Linked DNA regions of Mus musculus: all the other regions are reported to be linked to region 2. Evidence: microRNA targets listed by miRTarBase, many of them from high-throughput screens and not tested one by one. Region 2 holds a microRNA gene; each other region holds the end of a gene's coding sequence.

What was found. The annotated mature microRNA mmu-miR-453 reads AGGUUGCCUCAUAGUGAGCUUGCA and lies in region 2 at 2,989-3,012, opposite strand. An mRNA with a match to its seed (bases 2 to 7 or 8) in the 3' UTR can be bound and repressed. Matches are read on the target gene's strand: a 7mer-m8 pairs with bases 2 to 8, a 7mer-A1 pairs with bases 2 to 7 and ends in A, and an 8mer does both.
Region 1: miRTarBase lists Stxbp2 as a target of mmu-miR-453. Seed matches in the 3' UTR shown: 7mer-A1 at 1,534-1,540.
Region 3: the mRNA of Foxr1 is a reported target of mmu-miR-453. Seed matches in the 3' UTR shown: 7mer-A1 at 1,765-1,771.
Region 4: miRTarBase lists Polr2l as a target of mmu-miR-453. Seed matches in the 3' UTR shown: 7mer-A1 at 2,113-2,119.

What each region holds. Positions count from the first base shown.
Region 1 is chr8:3,641,976-3,647,556 of GRCm38, forward strand. It overlaps Stxbp2 (syntaxin binding protein 2), which reads left to right. Exons shown (of 19, transcript NM_011503.5): 18 at 1-80; 19 at 671-2,023. The coding sequence ends at 756. Among named protein-coding and RNA genes, the nearest start is that of Retn, 11 kb to the right of the region's middle.
Region 2 is chr12:109,733,059-109,738,680 of GRCm38, reverse strand. It overlaps Mir453 (microRNA 453), which reads right to left and starts at 3,062; the gene lies at 2,981-3,062. Mir382 (microRNA 382) reads right to left here and starts at 4,910; the gene lies at 4,835-4,910. It overlaps Mir134 (microRNA 134), which reads right to left and starts at 4,542; the gene lies at 4,472-4,542. Mir668 (microRNA 668) reads right to left here and starts at 3,949; the gene lies at 3,884-3,949. It also overlaps Mir485, Mirg and Mir154.
Region 3 is chr9:44,430,465-44,436,086 of GRCm38, reverse strand. Foxr1 (forkhead box R1) reads left to right here. Exons shown (of 5, transcript NM_001033469.2): 3 at 1-228; 4 at 506-664; 5 at 778-1,853. The coding sequence ends at 910. Among named protein-coding and RNA genes, the nearest start is that of Foxr1, 7.6 kb to the left of the region's middle.
Region 4 is chr7:141,468,449-141,474,070 of GRCm38, reverse strand. Polr2l (polymerase (RNA) II (DNA directed) polypeptide L) reads left to right here. Exons shown (of 2, transcript NM_025593.1): 2 at 667-2,211. The coding sequence ends at 775. It overlaps Cd151 (CD151 antigen), which reads right to left. Exons shown (of 8, transcript NM_001111049.1): 2 at 5,525-5,622; 3 at 4,726-4,816; 4 at 4,414-4,605; 5 at 4,060-4,134; 6 at 3,846-3,950; 7 at 3,603-3,761; 8 at 2,590-3,520. The coding sequence starts at 4,809. The coding sequence ends at 3,374. Among named protein-coding and RNA genes, the nearest start is that of Gm10575, 3.5 kb to the right of the region's middle.

The sequences.
Region 1 (5,581 bases), not on the chromosome of region 2:
GGGTGGTGTCGCCATGTCGGAAATGAGGGCTGCCTATGAGGTGACCAGGGCCACTGAGGGCAAGTGGGAGGTGCTCATAGGTAAGTAGCCAGAACTGGGGTCCTTGGGAGTATGACTGTGGGGATTCCTGGGGACCAGGGCTGGACATGGGGTCCCTTAGAGTCTGCAGTTAGATTTGTTGTCCTCAAACGCCTAAGATGTGGGGACTTGGGCTTCTCTGGAGCCTGAGCCTAGATTCTGAGTCCTTAAAAGCCCAGGGCTAGAGTCTGGACTCTTTCTCTTGGGGGGGGGGGGGGGTGTCCTGTGCTGGACTCTGTAGTCTATTGAGATCTAAGGCTGAGCTCTGAGGTCCTTATAGGGCCTGCGACTGAGCTCTGGTCTTTGAGGGGCTGGGGCTGAACTCAAAGAATCCCTAAAGGGCTAGGATTAGATTATGAAAGTTCTGGGCTTGGGGGTGGGAATCTGGGGACTTTGAAAGGCTGGGGCTGGAGTCTTCAGTGGAGTAATCACCTGGGGCTGGATACCCCTGTTCCTAAGTTTCTGAACCCCTCAATCATTGAGAAGACAGGGCCCTGGTTTGCAGAAGGGCAGGAGTTTGTTCTCACCAGCCAGGACACGAGTCAGGAGGGAGGGACTCTACCTCCTCCTTTAACCTTCCCCTCCTGCCCAGGCTCTTCTCACATCCTTACTCCAACCCGCTTCCTCGATGACCTCAAGACACTGGATCAGAAGCTGGAGGGTGTGGCCCTGCCCTGACACAGCCCCTTGCCTCTGCCCTCTCCTATTCCAGAGAAATAAACGCTTCCCTTCTGTCTTCCCACCAGGGCTCACCTCATTTTCTTCCCAGAGGGAGCTGTATTGAGCCAGACCTCCCCCTGCGTTTTCACTGTCCTGCCCGAACCTTTCCCCGGCCCCCAGAAGCATCTGTAGCTTTCATTAACGCTGAGAACCTGGGCTGTAGGGTCAGTATTGGCTTGAAGTTTAGGAGGCACTGGCTCTCTTGCTGGGTCCTCCATCCAAACCCAGGCCTGATTTTGGCAGAGGAGATAGAGAGGTGCAGATTAGGGGTTGCCAGGGCTGCAACCCCACTGTCACTAGAGTTCTTTAGGCTGTAAGGTTAGAAATATAGGAAAAATTTTAACCTTTATCTTTATTTTGTGTGTTACACTTGTATGTATGTTTATGCATCATAAGTATCAGTGCCTGTAGAGGTCAGAATAGGGTGTGGGATCCCCTGGAACCAGAGTTATAAATGGTTGTGTGAAGCCATGAAGGTTCTTGAGTCTGCTGTGAGAACAGCTAGTCTCTTACCCACTGATGCATCTCCAGCACCAGAAATAGAAACGGAAATAGAGTAGACCTGAATCCTGACTCTTCCCCGGAACCTCCCAGGAGCTACTGCAAGTAGAACTTGAATCCCCAATTCCAGCAATCAGAGCTAGCATTTAAAATACAGCAAACTTGGGGCTGGTGAGATGGCTCAGCGGGTAAGAGCACTGACTGCTCTTCCAAAGGTCCTGAGTTCAAATCCCAGCAACCACATGGTGGCTCACAACCATCCGTAATGACATCTGACGTCCTCTTCTGGTGTGTCTGAAGACAGTTACAGTGTACTTACATATGATAAATAAATAAATCTTAAAAAAATAAATAAAATACAGCAAACTCTAACACCGGCTTCCTAGTAACCCCCCGCACCCAACCTTAAGATATGCCTGTAGACTCTTAATTGCAGGATTTACCAGAGTTTTTAATGGAGGTATATTTGTTCAGTAGGGTCAACTTATAAACTATTCCTAGGGCCTGGATGGCTCAGAAGTTAAGAGCGTTTCCTGCCCTTACAGGGGCCTGGAATTTGGTTCCCAACACCCAATTTGGGTGACTCAAAACTGACTGTAACTCCAGCTCCAGGGAATTCAGTGCTCTCTCCCGGCTTCAGTGCGAACCCAGATACATGTACACCTCCCCCCAACACACAGCAATAAACAAACAAACAGGTAAATAAATGAATAAAAGCACTTCACTCAGATGGCTTTACAGGAATTTATTATTCCACAGTTCTGGAAGTTTGGTCTTTGCTGGAGGTGTTGATTGGTTTGTAGATAGATACCCTTTATTCAAGAAAGGGTATCCTGTAGTTCCAGGCTGGTCTTGTTAAATAGCTGAGGGTGATTTTGAACTCCTGAGTGTTGGGGTTACAGCTGTGCAGTTGGGGTTGCCACTGTGCAGTTTCTGCAGTGCTGGGGGATGAACACAGTTCTTCATGCATGCTAGGCAGGTACTCTTCCAGCTGAACCACATCTCCACCCCTGCAGCTGGCCATTTCTCTGTGTCCTCACATGGTTGCGTTTTGCAGGTGTCCCAATTTCCTCTTCTTATGTCACCACATACTGGATGAGAGCCCACCCTGTGGCCTCATTTTTTTTTTTAAACTTAATTATCTTTAAAAAGACCTTGTTTCTAAATATATTCATCTTGAGATACAAAGGGTTAGGACAAGATCATCTAACTCTTGGGAACAGATACAATTTAGCCCATAGCATTTGAGTAACAGGAGGTATGGTTCAGTGTGTGAATAAGACAGAGAAGGGACCTTCTTTTTGGGGACACAGCCAGGCAGGTATCACAGGTAAAGAGGATTGGAAGGCATCCCAAAGTGTTTCATCTAGAGGTGGGAATAGGAGTAGAAGGGAATGGGAGGCTCAAGGCTACAAAGCCAAAACCATGGAAGGATGCTACATGGTGCCACATGGTGAGCCAGACAGTTAAGTGCTGCCCATGAACAAGAGCACCGGGATTACAGAGCTCACCCAGCAGTACTGGAAGCCCTGGCCTCTGTCTCTGACTTTAGAATGAGATTTTACAAAGGTCTGAGAACTAGGTGGGACCTGGCAAAGCTGGGTGAAGATTTTGTTACTGATGGGCAGTTGAACACTATGGAAGGATTCAGGGGTTCAGGAGCAGGGAGGCCAAGAAGCCCAGTCCAAGTGTTAGAGTGGCCTGGGCTGGAAGCCAAGCACGGTGCCCCCTGTCATTTGGGTCCTGTCTTTTGGGTCCTGCCTGGGCATGTGAGCCATGCAGAGTTGTGGACACAGCTAGGAGGATCCTTTTGATTTTGAGTTCATCAAAGCCCAGGGAATCTAAAGACATTTCTCAGAAAAGTTGAGAACATGAGGCTTGGGATTCTAATCAGATTGTCCTGAGCACCCCAACTCAAAAAGATCATGAAATTTGGAATGAATGAGTGGGAATAAGGAAATCGTCTGTCACAGCCCCCCCCCCCCCTCAATCCCAACCAGCTGTCCTGGTTTCAGTGCAGAAGGGATGGATGGTAAGTGGAGGGAGACAGAGGGTGATCTTCCTGCTCTGTAGCTCAGGCTAGCCTGGAACTCCCTACCGTTTTACCCCAGGTTCTGAAGTGCTGGAGTTGTCTGGCACGGGAGGTTATTCTAAAGTTTAAATGTAAACTCTAAGATCCCTGGCAGCAAACTGCTGTTTCTCTCTGGGATCTGTTTCCGTATTTCAGCGAGGTGAGCGCCAGGGGATGCTGCGGCCCAGATCGTAACCAGAGCTTGGGTGACCTAATTATTAGAGAAGCCTGGGAAGTGGGCTAAGGATTATTTGATGGTTCTCAGCAGAAACAAAACTGTTGCTTAAACTACTCTCATCTTTCCTTTAAAAAAAAAAAAAGTTAAAAAAATACTCATCACATTGTGTAGTCCTGGCTGGCTGGAACCATGTGGACCAGGCTAGCTAGTGCTGGGATTAAAGGTGTGGCCCACCCATCCCGACCGAATCTGATGATACCGACATGAAGGATGAGTCTGTCTTGGGGTTACTACCGCTGTGATGGAATATGACCAAATGCAGTTTGGAGAGGAAAGGGCTTATTTCACTCAGTTCCATATAAGAGTTCATTCATCACCCAAAACAGTGAGGGCAGGAACTCAAGCAGGACGGGAACCTGGAGGTGGAAGCTGGTGAGGCCACAGAGGGCGCTGCTTACTGTGCTTGCTCAACCTGATTTCTTCTAGAAGGCAGTGCCACTCCCTCAAGGGTGGCACCGCCCACAATGGGCAGGGCCTTCCCAGGCTTGCCTACAGCCTAATAGAGGCATTTTCTCAGTTGAGCCTCCTTTTTCTGATGACTCTAGCTTGTCTCAAGCAGACATAAAACTAGCCGGCACAGTGTCTATACTACCAAACACAAATGTTGATTGTGCAAGCATTTATTGCTCTCTGTGGCTACTGTCATCAGCTGAGATCTTGGCAAACCTCCCACATTACAAAGAATCTTTAAGACCCTCTTTATAAGAATAAAATGTCCATCCTTGCTTTCTGTGTTATGTAGGTATACCATTCAGGGAGGCATCCTCTAACCAGTGACACTTTGTTCCTGCCCCAAGGCCTTTGCACCTGCAGCTCTCCCCACCTGTTACCTCCCTTTAGCTCAAGTGTCACCATGTCATCATTACTTGTTACATGTTCTTCGTGGTCCTTTTCCTGACCTGTGGCTTTCTTGGTACCACCATAATGCATCTTCCAGCATCTATTGACCCCCTACCCTTGCCTTCCAGTCTCCCCTAAAACAGGGGCTCAGAACCATGGTATCCATTTTAATTTGATTTAGGGGTTAGTAGCCAGAAAACTGATATGCTTGCTGCATCTTTCCTGTTGCCTCACAACAGGGGACCTGTGTTGTTGTCTCCAGGGATGCTCCTAGCCCTCACTCTCCAGGTAAGATATCAGGCAGGGCTATAGGCATGAATTAACAGTAAAGTGCTCCCCTAGTAAGGGGCTGGGGATGTGGCTCAGAGATAGAGCCTCTGCCTAGGATCCAGTAGTGAGGGTGGGAGTGTGCCTCAGTAGTATAGCATTGGCCTAGCACATTTAAGGCCCTAGATTCAGTCCTTAAACCAGAGAGAGAGAAAGAGAGAGAGAGCCCGCCATTCAATTCTTTATCTAGAACATTTTTGTCTTGTGTGAAATTGCTCAAATCTGAAAACAAGTTGACCAATAGCTCCTTACTGCCAAGAACATTGTGAAAATGTGTCTGGGGTAAGGGGGTGGCCTGATAGAAAGGGAGTGCTTTCTGGGGCAAGGATGACAGCACCAGGGCTCAGCGTTAGCAACACTTGGTGGGAGAAGGGAATCATAGGCAGTGGGCTTTCCTAATTGACTGTCCACAGTCTATTCTGTGTATATGTGTGGTGCTTGGGATAGAACGCTGGCACACTATGCAAGAACTTAACCCTGAACCACGGACTCCATCCACTCACTGGGGGATTCTAGGTAGGGACTCTACCCCTGAACCACGGACCCCAGCCCCTCACTGTGCAAAGCTAGGTGGAAGCTCTTCCTTTGAGCCACACCCTAGCCCCTCCCTGGGGCACATCTAGGCCGGACTCTTTCACTGAGACATAGTCCTAGCATTCCACTTTTTTTTTTTTTTTTTGAGGCAGGGTGGTCTGTTTTTTGAACTTGCTAATTCAAGCTAGACTCTCTGGCCAGTCAGCCCTAGGGATCCTCCTGTTTCTGTTCTCCCCAATTAAAGGCACACAGTTGTAGAGGAATTTTAATCA
Region 2 (5,622 bases):
CTCCAGATCATTCCAAAGTATGTCCCTCCCTGAGTCCACCAGAGAACCAGGGATACACTGGGCATGGACAGCATACCTCTTACTAGATCCAACCATGGTGAACCATCCCTTCACTTACCCTGGAAAGACGCTAACACCACAGTCCCACCCCAGAAATTCCTCCAAGGCGGGATTTGGTACTGAAAAATAGGTCAACCGTGTATGATTCGTCACGAATAAAGCGAAGGCAACACGGATAACCTATCTTCAAGCACCGCACGTGGGTACCAGCATCTCTTCTCTGAAGCTGGCTTCCTCCAGGAAGTCCCCCAAGCACAGTGAACACAGCAGGTTACTGCATTGACTGTGAGAGGGCTTGAGAAGGCATCACGCACCCCAGGTCCAACCCATTCCTCCCCAACCCCTGACACCCATGGTTATCTAGTCTTGGCACCACTGCCAAGGATACAGTGTCTAAGGGTCCTTACAAGGGTCTGGTGATGGAGGTCCTAGATGCACAGATTTCATCCTGTGTTCATCATAGGAGTGGAAAGTTCCTAGCTTCATACTGAGATTGAGGCAAACACCAATGACCCTCGCCTTACATAGGCTTTGTTTCTAGGGATTTCCTGAAAAGTTCACAGAGAGGCTGACTTGGCAATACTCATTATAAAGGTAAGGTCAGCACTAAATGGCACTGACACTCAAGTCATGGCCTCGTCCCTTGGGGTGAGCAAACTTTCAGGGTGTTTTCCTAATAATAGGTTGTACTTTTTAGCTTATGATCCACTGAAAATGAGACAACAAAGAAACGAACACTAAAACTTGCTTGGTTGACAGTAAGTTCACATAGCTACCTGACGACAGTGGGCCCATGTCCATCCCAAAACCTGCCTGATGATGGTGGGTTCACGTCCACTCTGGAATCTCCCAGATGGTGGGTCTCCATGTCCATCCTAGACCTTGCCCGATGACAGTGGGTCCATGTTCACCCCAGAAGCTGGCATTGCAATTAGGCATCCTGCCAAGGGGGAAAATAACAGTGGGAAAGGGGAACTGATACCTTTAATCAAATAAATTCATGATGCAAAGGATGCCAGAGAGGGATGCAGGGAAGGTGGCAGTAGGGGGCGGAGACTGACTAAAGAACTACACAGACAATTTGGATCTTTTAAGTCAAGAAAAGAACCGCAGAGAACGTCTTTTAAAGGCTACAACTAACTCTAATAAAGAAGAAATGAAAATTACAATCGAGAAAAAAAAATGATGGGAAAACACTGGCTGGGTTATCATCTGGCAAAGTCACCAGTGCCCAATAGGAAAGTCTTAGAACCCAAAAAAAAAAAAAAAAAAAAACCAAACAAACGAGGAAGGACTGTAGTTCAGACATCAGGTATCAAGCAGGCTACACTAAGGCTATGACCAGCAGACAGCAAAGGAGAAGGAACACAGGAATGCTACCCAGGTTAACCCACTGTTCAGCTAAAGGCTCAACCCAGTAACAAGACTGCATAAGGAAAGCGCCACACATGTGTAAAAACTCTGGGGAGACAGTCACCCACAGCTCAAGCTAGTCGGTGTATAATGCACAGCTACATCTGAAAGAAAGGAAGACCCTTGTGTTAAGGAAGAGAGAACTTAACTCAAAACACGCTCTCTCCCTGCCCTAGGGACCTATGGGTGGGGGCATTCTGGAGGGTTCCCAGGATATGGATTAGAGCAAGGACAGAAGCTATGCGTGGGTATGCCTCAGTGAGTGGGTCTTCTCTGTGCGTGCGTGAAGGTCTGAGTTCCACCCCACCCCACCACCCCCCATTTTGGAAAAAAGAAAAAAGAAGAGGAGAGGGGGCAGTAGAGAGAGGGCAGAGAGGGAGGAAGGGTAGGTAGCATCTGGGAGCCATCCTTGTAGGAATGACAAAAATCCTCATTGCACTGAGATACACTAAGAGCTGAGAAATAGAAGCCCCCGTTTAAAGCAAACAAGTAGCCACGAGTGAAGCTGTTTGTAATACTGAGGACCCGTCTCAAACACTTGTAAGACTTACATTTGCATTTTTTTTCAACAGAAAAATTAAAACACATTGCAACAGTAAAGAAAGCAATGTCGTGGGGCATTTCATATCTTGTAGCAGTCAGAAGCAGCAGAAAATCTGATTGAGCTACTGAATGCTTTCAACTTAAGCTTTCTCAGCTGGGCTGGGATCTTTTTGGACACATCTATAAAGTCTTCCTGACATCGTTCCTTAGGTTAAGCACAAGTGAAATGATGATTTATATTTGAAATAAAATGATTAGACACAGGGAATATTTATCCTGTAAAATATTTCTCTCTTTACTCCCCTTTCCATTTGTATATAAGTCTCAGAAAGGAGTTTGATATTCCTGAAGTTATTTATGTGTGGGTAGAAACTTTTCTAATTTCTTTAATTTAATTGTTTCATATTGCTTTTATTTTTATCACGAGCATACATCTTTTTAATAAAATAGTAATAAGTAGAATAAATCCTCCTTTTACAAAGAAAATGAAGAAATGAAAAATAGTTCTTCTACTGTCCTCAAATTTCTTCTGAGATCCCAGCCAACAGACAAGGAAAATCACCACTCACTTATATCCCCACCCCAAAAAATGCTGACCCCTGGACCCCACTCCAGGATTTCTCAACAGGTCTAAGTCCTCCCTATAAGACGAGATTAACTAGTGGAGACGTGGGGGAGCAAAATTTGTTACTTTTCTTTACAAATAGATAAAAAAAGCCAGAGGTACCATGAGCGCCACCACATCCATGTCTTAAGTTTATAACATGGGTATCTACCTCAATGCTGACAATGCCCTCCATGGAGGGACTGGATGGGGTCAGGGGACACTGGAAGGAACCACATGTTCAAGGACGATGGTATAAACCCCACCAGGATCGTGGCTTCCTCATGATTGATATCAGGTCCAAGGAAGCACCTGGTAAGATGTGATACAGAAAACAGGTCTATCCTGTATTGGGCATCATTAAATAATGCAAGCTCACTATGAGGCAACCTCCCTCCAAGTACCAGGGGATGGCACTTCTCACAGCACTCCTGCATCTTCTTCACAGGGGGACACCTTGGGAGTAGACACAGAATGGACAGGACTCTGAGAATAAGTGAACCAAGTGGCTTAAGTCCCAATCAGACCCATGCTCTCTGGCCAACCTCTGGTTTATGGGCCCCAAATAAGCGCCAAGAGGAAGGTGATTTTTGACTCGTCATGCAATGTTTACTAAGTCAAAGGTGGCAGAGCCATACCCACAGCAAACACAAGTTTGCAAGGCAGGTTGTCCTGGGGATGCTGGGTGAAGCTGAGCTCATCTTCAGAGACTTCACTTCAGGGTATGGAATGGCTACAGATAACTCAACACAGGCTCACAATGTTCCGGGTCCCATTCTAGTCTGTATCCTGAAGGTTAACTAGCCAAGGCTGCTTCTAGTTGTTCTTCCATGGTAGAATTAGGTACTAACCAAAACAGAAGCCAGCCAGTATGTTTAAACATTTAAACAGAATCTCCCAACAGTGTCTCTGGTCTTTCCAAAAAATCAGAAATGTCCTAGGAAGTCGTGTGTGGGTTAGCTTGGACACTGGGATAACTGTGTGAAATATACAATTGGATAAAGGCACTTGACATGGGTTTAGCCATCCAGAAACCCACCTTGGGAACAGTAGTGGCTTGAGAAGACCTCTGAGGCAGAGTTTGACACTAGAAGAGAGGAGAGCCGTGTATGACTCGTTTAGATGAATCGAATTCATCACGGCCAGCCTCTCTCCAAGTATCACACATGATCACTGGCGAAGAACACTGGTGAAGAACACATCGACTCTCTCGAAAAGGTGGCTGCTTCCACTGTCCTGTGAAGAAGGGGTGGGACAGCATTGGGTAGTGGGCCGAGCCGAGTGACATACACCTACATTAAGTGCATGCTCACCCGAGGCACACTTACCTGAAGGGGGATGGTGATAGCCTTGAATCTGGTTAGTCCTCCTGGACCAGAGGGGGCGTGGTTCCACAGTTTCCATGAAGAGAATGTATTCTGGAAGCTCCTGTGGTAGTGTGGCGATGTCGGGACAACCATGCCTGCTTCTAGAGGTTGGTATCATCTCACAGACTCTCCTGTAGAGACAGGATATTGAGGTTAGACAACTGGAAGATAGATCCATCAGATAAGTAAGGCACAGGCACATGCTTAGTAAAGTACAATTCAGTCACACACCCAGGAGAGAAGGGACTTCAGGTCCCTCATGGGAAGTCAACATCATGTCCACATCTGAAGTCAACATTTCAAGGAGGCTGTGACAGTGATGCAGCAGCTACCACGGATGCCTCATGGCATCTTATGTAAACATACACCCCTAAGACCACAGTTCATCCTGGTCCACTGAGCAGGCACAGCCATCAAGTCCATTGACATATCCCCAAACTTGGTAGGATCTCTGGAAAGTCTTCTTTGAGTGGAATTGATGCTGAGGGTTGGTGACTAGGTGGCCCACAGGGTGAACAGAGTGCACGCCCCTCTGGTCAACCAGTCACACACCCTGAATGGTGCTGGCACCAACATCTCTTCCGGAAGATGACCTCTTTTCAAAGTCTTGTAAGCTGATACTTGGGGGCAGAGCCACAGCTGCCTCACCAAGGTTGGCACGGCCCACTGATGAGAGGCCTACAGGTGGATCAGATGCTCAGGTAACCCGACCAGGTGACTTACAGCTAGCTCAAGCACACTGTCCGTGGCCAAACATCCATACTTGGCTTCTCTACCAGCTTGACTGAACCGCCATCTTTCTGCAAGTTGCCATCATGTCCAGGAAATCCTTAGAGGTAGCATTTGGTACTGAAAAAAGTGTTGTCCGTGAATGATTCGTCACAAGTAAAGCGAATCCACCACGAACAACTTCTCTTCAAGTACCACAGAAAAGCAGAGACAAGACAGACAAAGGGCCCCTTCCATTTCTCCAAGGGCTATGGTTTCCAACCACCAACCTGCAGGCAGATTGGATGCTGAGTGTTAGTGAGGTGGGGGCAAGTGCTCTAGAAACACACTGGAGTGGGGCAGGGGTGGTCACTCACCTCCCTTGCAACGATGCTGACATTGTCCCCTTTCTCTGTCTTCCTTGGTTCTAGAGTTCACACTGGAAGGTTTTCAAGATGAGAAGGGAGCCCACTTGCTGTAGGTCAGAAGTCCTCTGCAGGTATATAGACCCTGGGGTATGTGAATGGGGACTTGCATTTCTCAATGGTGCACATATGGTTAGTCACATCAAGGTCCTGAGGGGACTATAAAAGTCCCACTGCAGAAAAGCCCAACCAAGGCTACTAGCATCCTCATATGAATCAAGAGAAGGTTCATTGAGCTCTACATGATCCCAGGTGATCCTCCACTCCCACTGTCTCATCTCTAAGAAATCAGTTTCAAGAAGAAGAAGAAGACCATCACAAATGGCGTAACCAACTCCTACAAGCAACCTTGCACGAGAAGGACCAGTTAGCATTTCCAGATTCTAGTGGCTCGCCACTAGGAAGCTTCCTTAGGATAGCTTCCCAAAGCCCTAGTAAGAACCCATCTCTCACCCTTCCGTGTCCCACCTGCCTCCATGGTTTCATAAAACATATTTCACTA
Region 3 (5,622 bases), not on the chromosome of region 2:
CAATCTGTGGATGTGGGTGAACCCAAACATGGTGTATCCTCCCGGCAAGCTGGAGGTCGCAGTGAAAGAGGAAGACCAGAGTGCGCTGTCTGCCTTCCAGCCAGCCCTGAAAGAGGAAGAAGACAGCTGTTCAGAAGCTTCGGAGGTACAGCAGCCATTGCCTCCTTGCAGGCAGAAGAGGAAGCAGAGGAGAAGCACAGTGCCTCTTCCCCTAGCACCTGGGAGGAGGTATGGATGGGTGGGCACAGGGGCGAAGCAGCAGCAGCAGCTGGGTTTCTGAGGGCCAATAAAAGATGAACACGTCTAGACCTGACCTGGACCCTGGGGCTGGGAGAAGGTTGGATAGTGGATTCTAGACTGCTCCCCTTTTTGCCGCTGCACACTGGAGCTGAGGCGGAGGAGTCAGGACCAGATCCTACTCTGTGCCCGTCTAGCCTACAGAAGAGGAGGCCGCCAAGGGTTATGACGACAGCTCCTCTCTGGCTCTCCCATCCCTTCCCACAAGGGCTCCACTCGAGAATCCGTGGAGGCTTCCGCAAGCCATCAGCCCAGAGGGGAGGCTCTGGTCCCGGCCCCCTCTCCATTACTTCCATCTGATTGCCTTGGCACTCAGAAACAGTCCCCCCTGTGGCCTCAGTGTACAGCAGATCTACAGTTTCACTCGGTATGTGCCCAGGGGACCCTGTGAGGAGGGGGAGGGGAGGGTCGGGGTTTAATAACTTCCAACCTGGCCCTGGGCTGCTGACGCAGTTTCCCCTTCTCATTTTATTTCCCCAGGCAAAATATATGCCTACTCAGCGCTCAAGAACATAACCACTCCTACCCCTTCGCCACTTACAATCCAGCTGTCCCTCAAATACCAATTCTCCTGGGTCGTTACAGTTTCTCCTACCCTGTCCCCAAAGATTAGCCAGAATAGAATCCAGCATCCCCCAAAACATCTCCGCTTTCTGCCCCTTAGACTGTCCTGCCTGGCACAGAACCTTGTACCTCCAAGGGTCATGGAAGCCTCACTGAGAATTTGCATTGTGTGTGTCTCTGTGTGTTGTGTGATCATTGAACTTAGGGCCTCTTTTTTTGAGACAAGGACTCACTTTGTAGCTCAGGCTGACTTGAATCTCACTGTATAGACTGGACTAGCCTTGAATTCAGAGACCTTCCTTGCCACTGCCTCCCAAGTGACAGGGTTTCTGTGTGTAGCGCTGGCTGTCCTAGAACTCACTATGCAAACCAGGCTGCCTTCAAAATCAGAGATCTACCTGCCTCTGTCTCTTGAGTGGTGGAATTAAGGATGCGCTACCATGACCGGCTAACCTTTCGCTTTGATAGTCATACATAAGTGTGAGGGAGGTCTTCCCTGGTATCAGACAAAGAGCCCCGTGTCTCAGAGTGTTTATCTTGGGTGGTTTAATCCTATTCTTGGTTCTGCTTTGTTCCCACTGTCAAAATCTCCAGCCCTCGAGCGAGGGGCGAAAATGAGACTGAGACTGGGGATATTATACTGGGCTTAGAAGAAGACGTTTCTCAGCCCTAGCATGGTGGTGCAGGCCTGTGATCCCAGCACTCAGGATTCAGAGGTAGGAGGAGGGCCAGGGGTTTAAGGTCATCCTCAGCTGCTCAGTGAGTTCACGGTCAGTCTGGGCTACATTAGACTGTCTCAAAGATGGAAAGAAGGAAAAAGAAAAACGATGGTTCGGGCTGGCAAGATGGCTCAGTGGTTAAGAGCGCCAACTGCTCTTCCGAAGGTCCTGAGTTCAAATCCCAGCAACCACATGGTGGCTCACAACCACCAGTAATGAGGTCTGCTGCCCTCTTCTGGTGTTTCTGAAGTCAGCTACAGTGTACTTACATATAATAAATAAATAAATCTTTAAAAAAAAAAGAAAAACCGATGGTTCATAGGCTGAGATGTGGTTCTGCCGGCAAAGAGCAATTCCAGACCAGCCTGTCCTGCTTCCCCCTGAGAGGAAGCTGAGGCTCCTGGCCCTGGGGAAGAACAAGGACCCCAGTGAGTCCTTTTCAGGGGTGCCACACCTGTCTTCACTCTTCCTCCTTGTCCACAGAGAGCACTTTCCTTTTTTCCGGACAGCCCCGGAAGCCTGGAAGAACACAGTCCGTCACAATCTCAGTTTCCGAGACAGCTTTGAGAAAGTGCCGGCCAGTCGGCAGGGCGTCGAGGCCAGCACCGGGCCTCGATCCTGCCTCTGGAAGTTGACTGAGGAGGGACACCGCCGCTTTTCCAAGGAGGCCCGCACCTTGGCTTCCACTCAGCTGCAAAGTATCCAACAGTGCATGAGCCAGCCAGGTGTGAAGCCTTGTCATGCCTGAGCACAGGGGTGGGGGACCCGAGGCCCAGACTCTAGGCTAGATGCCTTTCTGGATCATACTCTCAAGACTTCTGCAGGAAGCAGGACAGGCGTGATTGAGACCCTCTAAGTTATGAGACCTCCCATGAGAGTGGGAATTGTGTTCAAGGAATAGGGAAACTGAGGTTGCCTCTGGCTCTGCTCACAGCCCAGAATCCTGGCTCAAATGGCCTTTGAGCTGGGTAAAAAGTAGGAGGGCTTATCAATTAAGAGGATTCTGCCATAGCAAGCAGAAAGACTTCAAAAGTGGTAGCCATGGAGCCTTAAGCTCTGTGAGATAGCATAGCAGACCAGGGACAGAGCCGGTCAAGATTGCAAGCTCCTCTGAACTCTCTTACAGATGTGATGCCCTTCCTCTTTGACCTTCAGGATGAATCAGCCGTGCCCTATTAAAGTCTCCTTCAGCAACACCTGTGTGTGTGTGAGATCTCTGAGGATGAGGCTAAGCGGGACTGGGATTCAGATCCAAGAGTGAAAGTAGGAGTTCTGGAAGCTGGCAGATGATAGGTAGGTAGGTGGGTAGGTAAACAGACAGACAGACTTGTTTCTCCATGGATGAAATTAACCAATTGTAGCTGAATCTCAAGTATAAAGAGGACTGGAGGGATGGCTCAGCAGTAAAGAGCATTGACTGCCAGAGGTCGTGAATTCAATTTCCAGCAACCACAGCAACCATGTGTAATGGGATCTGATGCCCTCTTCTGGTGTCTAAGACATCGACAGTGTACTCACCATAAGTATAAAGTAAGGTTTATTGAAAGGCAACTTTGGAGTGAGTTCACTGATCTCACAAGTGGAGGTCAGAGAAGTCATGAGCTGGGCTTAAAGGCAAAGGGGTTTTATGGGCTAGGGCTGGGATTATGCCCATATAAGGTGAAGTGGGTAGCTTGGAGTTTAGAGAAAGGGAGATGACTCGGTAGCCCAGAGTTTTCTTACAGTGGAGTTGGGGAGGGAGCAGTTGGGCTTTCTTCTTCCCTTGAGCAGGGGATGAGCAGGGGTTCCAGCCAAGCATCCCAGCCTCTGGGTATAAGAGCACTGATTCAGATCTGGCCACTTCCCGATGAAGAGGGACAAGGAGGGTGGGAAAGATGGGAGTTGGTGGGGTCCGTGCTTAGAGGGAGGTATGAGTGCAGAAGCATACACACACACACACACACACACACTCTCTCTCTCTCTCTTTTTTTTTTTTTTTTTGGTTTTTCGAGACAGGGTTTCTCTGTATAGCCCTGGCTGTCCTGGAGCTCACTCTGTAGACCAGGCTGGCCTCGAACTCAGAAATCCACCTGCCTCTGCCTCCCGAGTGCTGGGAATAAAGGCGTGCGCCACCATGCCCGGTTACACTCTCTCTTTAATAGCCAGACCATTCACGGTGATAAATGCCTGTGATCCTAGCATTTAGGAGGAACAGGCTGGAGGGTCAGCAATTCAAGGCTGTTCTTCACTATATAATTTGAAGCTAGCCTGGTCTTTTATGTCAGATTAGTCAGGGAAGGTAATTTTATCAGGACCCTGCTTTTTTTTTTTTTTTTTTAATTAGCTTTAGCTGAAGACTTCTGTGTGACCGCCTTCCTGTTCTCAGGTCAGTTTTCCTGAGGTTTACCTGGTTTTAAAAAAAAAAAAAAAAAAAAGAGCCGGGCATGGTGGCGCACGCCTTTAATCCCAGCACTTGGGAGGCAGAGGCAGGTGGATTTCTGAGTTCGAGGCCAGCCTGGTCTACAGAGTGAGTTCCAGGACAGCCAGGGCTGCACAGAGAAACCCTGTCTAAAAAAAAAAAAAGGCAGAAGTGCTCGTTCATTTTTCTTTCTTTCTTTCTTTTTTTTTAAAGATTTATTTATTTATTATATGTAAGTACACTGTAGTTGTCTTCAGATACACCAGAAGAGGGCATCAGATCTCATTACGGGTGGTTGTGAGCCACCATGTGGTTGCTGGGATTTGAACTTCGGACCTTTGGAAGAGCAGTCGGGTGCCCTTAACCACTGAGCCATCTCACCAGCCCCTCGTTCATTTTTCAATGATTTATTTAGTTCTACTTATTTCTGTGTGAAGGTGTCAGATCTCCTGGATCTGACATGTGAGCTGCCATGTGGGTACCAGGAATTAAACCCAGGTCTTTGGGCAGTGCTCTTAACCACTGAGCCATTTCATTTGACACACACACACACACACACACACACACCAGACAACCTTACCATGTGTCCCTTGTTAGCTTAGAACTTGTTATATAGGCCGGGCTGACCTCCTGAGTGTTAGGATTAAAGGCATGTGCCACCATGCCCAGTCTTTTGTATGTTTGCTTTAAAGCTCATTAGCCAAGAATAACCTTAAATTGACTGTGTAGCCAAGGATAGTCTAGAACTCATGGCCATCTTGCCTCTGCACTCCTGGCCAGGAGATAGTATTTGAATGGAAGATGGTTAGGTAGGTAGGAAGTAGAAGGTGTCCAAAGCAGAGGAAATGGAATCAGGAAGTCACAGCCATAAAGGTGAGGCATTGAGATCTGGACAAGGAAGCTCCTGGTGCTCACCTCTAAGGTTCAAGGTCAACCAGCAATTCCTCGAATGATGAGCAAGAGAAGGGGAAGCTGGAGACTACTCTTAAGAGCTGAGGCATCAAGGGCTGTTTTCAGTTAAAAGTAATAAAGTTGACTAGGTAGCAAGTTCCAGACCAGCCTGACCTACACAGTAAGACCCAATTAAAGGCAACACTCAGGAGGTGGAGGCAGAGACGGGTGGATCTCAGTAAATTCCAGATCTGTCAGGGCTGCACAGACCCTGTCAAAAACAAGGAGCCATGCATGTTGGCACATGATTATGAAGGGAATTTATTAGAGTGGCTTTACAGGCAGTTGTCCTGCTAGTCCAACAATGGCTGTCTACGAACAGAGAATCCAAGAATCCAATAGTTGTTCAGTGCCTGGACGTCTCCAGTGGTCTTCAGTATGTGCTGCAATCCTGAAGAATTAGTCTCTAATGCTAATGAAAGACTGAACCTACCAATGAGAGTTCAAGCAAGCAGGCAAAGAGCAAGCTTCCTTCTTCCCTGCTCATAATAAGCTGCCCGCAGAAGGTACGGCTCATAGTAAAGGTGGATCCTCCCTGAGGGTCAAGATTAACCAGCAATTCTGTGAACGATGAGGGAGAGAAGGCAGGCGGAGGCTGTGGTGTAGAAGGCTGTACACCTGGGCAGTGGTGTAGAAGGCCTTTAAACCCAGCATGTTGAAAGCAGAGGCAAGTGGATCTCTGAGTTCTAGGCC
Region 4 (5,622 bases), not on the chromosome of region 2:
GGTTAGAGAGATGGCCCAACTGTTTTTTTTGTTGTTGTTTTGTTTTTCAAGACAGGGTTTCTCTGTGTAGCCCTGGCTGTCCTGAAACTCACTTTGTAGCTCAGGCCGGCCTCGAACTCAGAAATTCACCTGCCTCTGCCTCTACCTCCCAAGTGCTTGGGATTAAAGGTGTGCACCACCACACCCAGCTAGATGGCTCAACTGTTAAGAGCACTGGCTGTTTTGTGTGTTTGGTTGTTTGATTGTTTTTTAAGAGGACTCAGGTTCCGTTCCTTGAAGCAACATGGTATCTCGCAAGTGTCCGTAACTCCTTTGGGCTTTGGGAGCATCAGGCACCCATACACATAAAACGAAATTTTAAAAAACAGGTGTAGGCAGAAGGCTGTTAAGGATGGATACAGGATGCTATGGGAGAAGACTGGCACATGAGCAGGTGTAACTTCTAGGTGGGGAAAGGGTCACCTGGCTCCTCCCTGAGCATCTAGATACATATTTCAGAAATCTCCAGGCCATTTCCCTATGGCCTGGTGTCAGGTTTCAATCGCTGATTATGTAGATGTGCTCTGGTAACCCCTATCCACACGAATACCCAGAGGCAAGCTGGAGGTGGTTCCAAACCTATCCAGACTCTAGAGACCACATCCAGCCTCACTCTTCTCTTTACAGGGATGCCCTGGACGCTCTGGGCCTAAAGCGCTACTGCTGCCGCCGCATGCTGCTAGCACACGTGGACCTGATTGAGAAGCTGCTGAACTATGCACCCCTAGAGAAGTGACCGCTGGAGCCTGCCCTCCTCTGTCTCCTGCTGGCCACGGGCAGCCTGTCGTGCTATGTTCAAACTGAGCTATTGGGGATGTTGGTGTATTGCCTGGCTGTGGCCCTGTGGCTAAGTCCTGTTACCCTGGAAGGAACTGTTTAGTAAAGATGTTTGCAGAACCACCAACAGGTCTAACTTCCAAGGTGCTCCATGTCCATGTCTGTGCTGTCTCTGAGGCTACCTGGCCTGCCTCCAGTCTTTCCCCTAGGGCTGGTCTCCTTCCCCTTCATCTGACTGGGAGTCTCGTCCTGTGGAGGAGTACCCTGCTTCCGTTCCCCGGGGCCTTGACCACTTTGATCAACGAGGTAGCCCTACAGTAGTCTTGTACCACATTGCTTTAGGGCCTCTCCGCTTCCTGCCTGTGTTCAGGATGGGCATAATGGATGTGGGCACCACACCATCCACAGGTATGGATGGGCCCAAGCCTGGTGACAATATTCCTTTGGAATGCTGAGCGTGCTTGGAGGTCCCAATCCTTGTGCTAGGGTTATTATGCATTTGGGTATTTGGTCTGCTTATAAGTCTTTGTATCACTGTGTCCCCACAGAGGCCAGATCCCCTGAGAGTAAAGTTATAGAATGTATAAGCTGCCATCAGGTATTGGGAATCAAACCCAGATTTATTTACCTTTCATTTTCCAAGACAGGGTTTCTCTGTTTGGCCTTGACTATCCTGGAATTCAACTCTGCAGACCAGGCTGGCCTTGAACTAAAGAGATCAGTCTCTGCCTCCCGAGTGTTGAGTTTAAAGGACGGCTTGTGCCACCCAACCAAACCCAGATACTGTAGGAGTACGCCCAAGGCCACAGGCCTCACGAATTTCTTGGGTCCTAAAGCCCATCAGCTGTGTGAGCCTATCTGCTGCCCATGCCTGAGGATCTTGTTTCCAGAATCTTCCCAGGCCCGACAGCTAGGCAGCCCTGCCCCTTGACCCAATCCCCACAGCATGTAGTCCTAAGAAGCCTACTCTAGGCCAAAGGAGGTGGTGTAGTGCTTTAGCTCCTAGGCATCTGCATCAAGTACCCCGGGTTCTTTCTAGCACATTGATCCCTTTGAGAATTTTGGTGGGTTTTTTTGTTTTGTTTTTTGAGACCAGCTTTGGCTGGTTTGAAACTCACAACAGTCAGCCTGCCTTTACCTCTTGGATTCTGGGATTAAAGGTGTGTGTGGCATAGCATACCCACCCTACCCCACCCCTGGTTTTTTGTTGTTTTAAAGAAAAAGGCGGGCTGGTGAGATGGCTCAGTGGGTAAGAGCACCCAACTGCTCTTCCAAAGGTCCAGAGTTCAAATCCCAGCAACCACATGGTGGCTCACAACCATCCGCAACAAGATCCTCTTCTGGAGTGTCTGAAGACAGCAACAGTGTACTTACATATATTAATAAATAAATCTTTAAAAAAAAAAAAAAAAGAAAAAGGCTTTGCCTTAGGCTAGAGTCCAGAGAACCCATAGTGGCCTCCTCCAGCTGGCACAGAAGACTGTGGGGAACAAAATCAGCTTAGGACCTCTTCTCAGCTGCTTAGATGAGCTAAAGCCAGAGAAACAGGAGCCAGGGCATCCCCAACAGGCCCTGGTGCCTCCCTTGCCCTCTGACCCTAGCAAGGCCTACAGACTCTTCCTTGAGCATGGACAAGTCCAGGCCACAGTGGGCTGGGGGGATGTTCCAGCTACCAGTGCTCACCCTAACTGTAATTGCCATTGGGCTTCACCAACCTTGACTCTTGTGAGTACTCCAGCTACCCTGGACCATAAGGTCCTGTCAGCAAGCTGATTCGAGTGCTTATACATTTACATTTATTGAGCACCTGTTACATAGCAGGAGCATTTGTGGGCAGCATCTGGAATACAGCAGTGAGATGAAAACAGCCATGCTCCATTCAGAGATGCTCCAAAAGGAGACAGTGTACAGGAACATGGAGCATTTACATGATGCTATCAGTAGTGAGAAAAGGCCAGGGCTGAGCTGTTAGGAGCAAGAGGCCTGTGTGGAGAGGACAGAGCATCAAGTGTGGGGTTGGAGTTTCCCTCAGCTTACACCATTTGTTTGGGGCAAGCAGATCTGAGAGTTCCTGGTAGCAGGCATGAAGGGTGCCTAATCCAACCAGAAAGGCCCCACCTGCTTTTACCCAACGTGTAGTGGTGTACTCAGGTTCTCCCCAGACTTACTGCAGATCACAGCTACCCAAAGGGAAGCAGTCTGCATAAGAGGCACTTCTGTCAAATAATCTAAACCCTATTCTACTAGCCAGGCCTAGCCCAACACTGGCATTTGAACCCCCCACCCCCCCCCCCCTTCTTAATGCTGGGGCAAGTACGCTGCTTCGAGCTTTGGGACTTTGGTGTGCAGTGAAAGGCACTTGAAGGTGCATGCCCCTGAGGTGGCATGCCAGGGGGGGTCATGGCGATGGCATGAGGGTAGCTACCTCTGGCAGTCAGCAGTCTAAGTCAGTAGTGTTCAGTAGTGGGGCTGGGACATAGTGCAAGGCTGGCCGCCCAGCCTGGCATCATCGTGGTCAGTAGTGCAAGGCTGGCCGCCCGGCCTGACATCATCGTGGTCAGTAGTGTTCCAGCTTGAGGCTTCGGTACAAGCAGCAGGTGAAGATCATGCCGAAGACCTGCACACAGGCGATGCCAATGCCCACCGCCCCAATGACCCGCAGGTGCTCCTGAATGAAGGTCTCCAGCTTAGTGATACAGCCACCCTAGTGGGAGAGAAGGGTGGTGGGCCAGGCTGCCTGAAGACCAGTCCGGCCTAGCCCCGCCCCTTGCTGAGAACCCACCTACCTCCACTTTATAGATGTTGGAGGCATGGTCCCGCTTACCACAGCCAGCTACCATAGTCTTACAGCAGCTGTCAGGAACCACGCGGCTGTCTGCCTCACCAGAGCGGATCCACTCGCTGTCTTGCCAGTCTTGAGAGTTGTTGCTGCCACAACAGTGGAACTACAAGGGGCACATGGCTGAGCCTCAGCGCTTGCCGGCACACGGCACCATGCCGAGAGGGCGGGCAGTTCTAGGGGCACCCACCTCTTGCTGCAGCTTGTCGACAGCGCTGCTCACACCCTCGTGGCCTGACTGGTGGTATCTCTTGACCATGGTGTCCTTCAGATTCTCCTTGAGCTCTGTGTTCAGCTGTGGGTAGGATCAAACTCTGGGCAAAGGCAAAGCTGGAGCCAGGACCTCCAATGGGACTGACAGGGCCATGTTCTAGGCACACCCCATGGCCTGTCCAGGCCCTTACCTGCTGATAATAGACATAGGCCAGGATGCCAGCAATGATCTCCAGGAGGAAGATGATGAGGAGCAGGATGAAGTACTAGGGAGCAGGGACCCAGTAAGTGGGGGGTTGCTAGTGCCAGAGTACCACAAAGCCAAGCCCCCAACCCAGGAGGCCAAGCAAGAGGAATTCAGTTAGGAGCTACACTCTGGGGCTGCCTAGCTCCTTCATAGTTCTGAAGCTCGTGTCTGCCCCAACAGGGACAGCCTGCAGTAATACACTCAACCAGTTAAGTCCCCAGAACCAGTACCAGAGGCCCCCTGAGAAATCCATGCAAGGCACCCCTAGCCCCACCGTGTGCCACCATGCCCCACTGACCAAGCGTAACAGGTTCCGTCGCTCCTTGAAAGTGGCACAGCAGCCCAGGACTCCAGTCACCATGACAACAACACCAGCCACCACTAAGATGTAGGCCGTGGCTAGGTAAGTGCTTGAGGCCAGCAGACTAATGTAGTCACTCTTGAGGGCCAGTGTCCAGATGCCCACTGCCATGACAGCCAGGCCGGCCAGCTGCAGAAAGTATATACTGGTCACCACATCTGGCCTGGGTCTGGAAGCTGGGACTGAGCCCCCCAGGCCAGGCCTCCAACATGGGGACTAGGGATGCAGGGAGAAATTAGCTCTTCTCACCCAGAAGCAGCAGTTGTAGGTAAAGAGCAGGTACTTGAGGCAGACTGTGCCACATGTTGCCTTCTTCTCATTGAATTCACCCATCCTGGGCCTAGAGGAACGGGGAGGAGGTCAGATGGCCTGAAGCACCAGGCCTCCAAGTAGGAAGAAAGCTATCTACCAACGGAGACAGGAGGAGATCCAGCAGTCCCCGGATGATTGCAGTTTGGAGCTCAGCCAGCTATCTGCCCTCAGAGGAGCATTCCCAGGAACCTTATGAGTCACTTCCTGAACTAACCTCCTCACAGCCAGACACATGGTGGGTTATCATGGAGGACCCCCCAACATCTGCTGACTCACTCCTGCTGGCAACAGGGGGGGAAGCACCAGCAGACCTTCAGGGTACATTCCTGTTGATCGGCACCCCCAAGCATTCCCTGAGTCCCACAATCAGGCTGCTAGGTACTTACCACTCATACCCGTTCCCAGATATGGCAGAGAGCTCAGGCCACCCTAAGGGACAGTTTGTGAGGACTCTGAGCTGACTCTACTACCAGCCAGGGCAGAGACAATAAGATGCCGGTAGGTGGAGCCTGTACAACCAGCTCTCCTCCCGACTGTAGGGGGAGGTCCCAGTTCCACATATGTGAATGTGCCACTCCTCCAGGAGTCCCCTAGTCACACCCTGCCCTAGACACACTATTGTCTGACTGAGGACAGTGTACAGACCTCGGCTGACGCAGGTCAGATTCCCAGACACACACCTAAGCAGAACTGTTAGCCAGGGGCCTTGAGGCTCTGCCCAGGCACCAGCTCTCACCTCTCAAGTCAGGACCAGCAGGTACAGGTCAAAAGTCACTCTCTGCCCTTCACCTAGCAGGTGGGATCTTGCCACTCCAACTACAGAAGCTTAAGCAG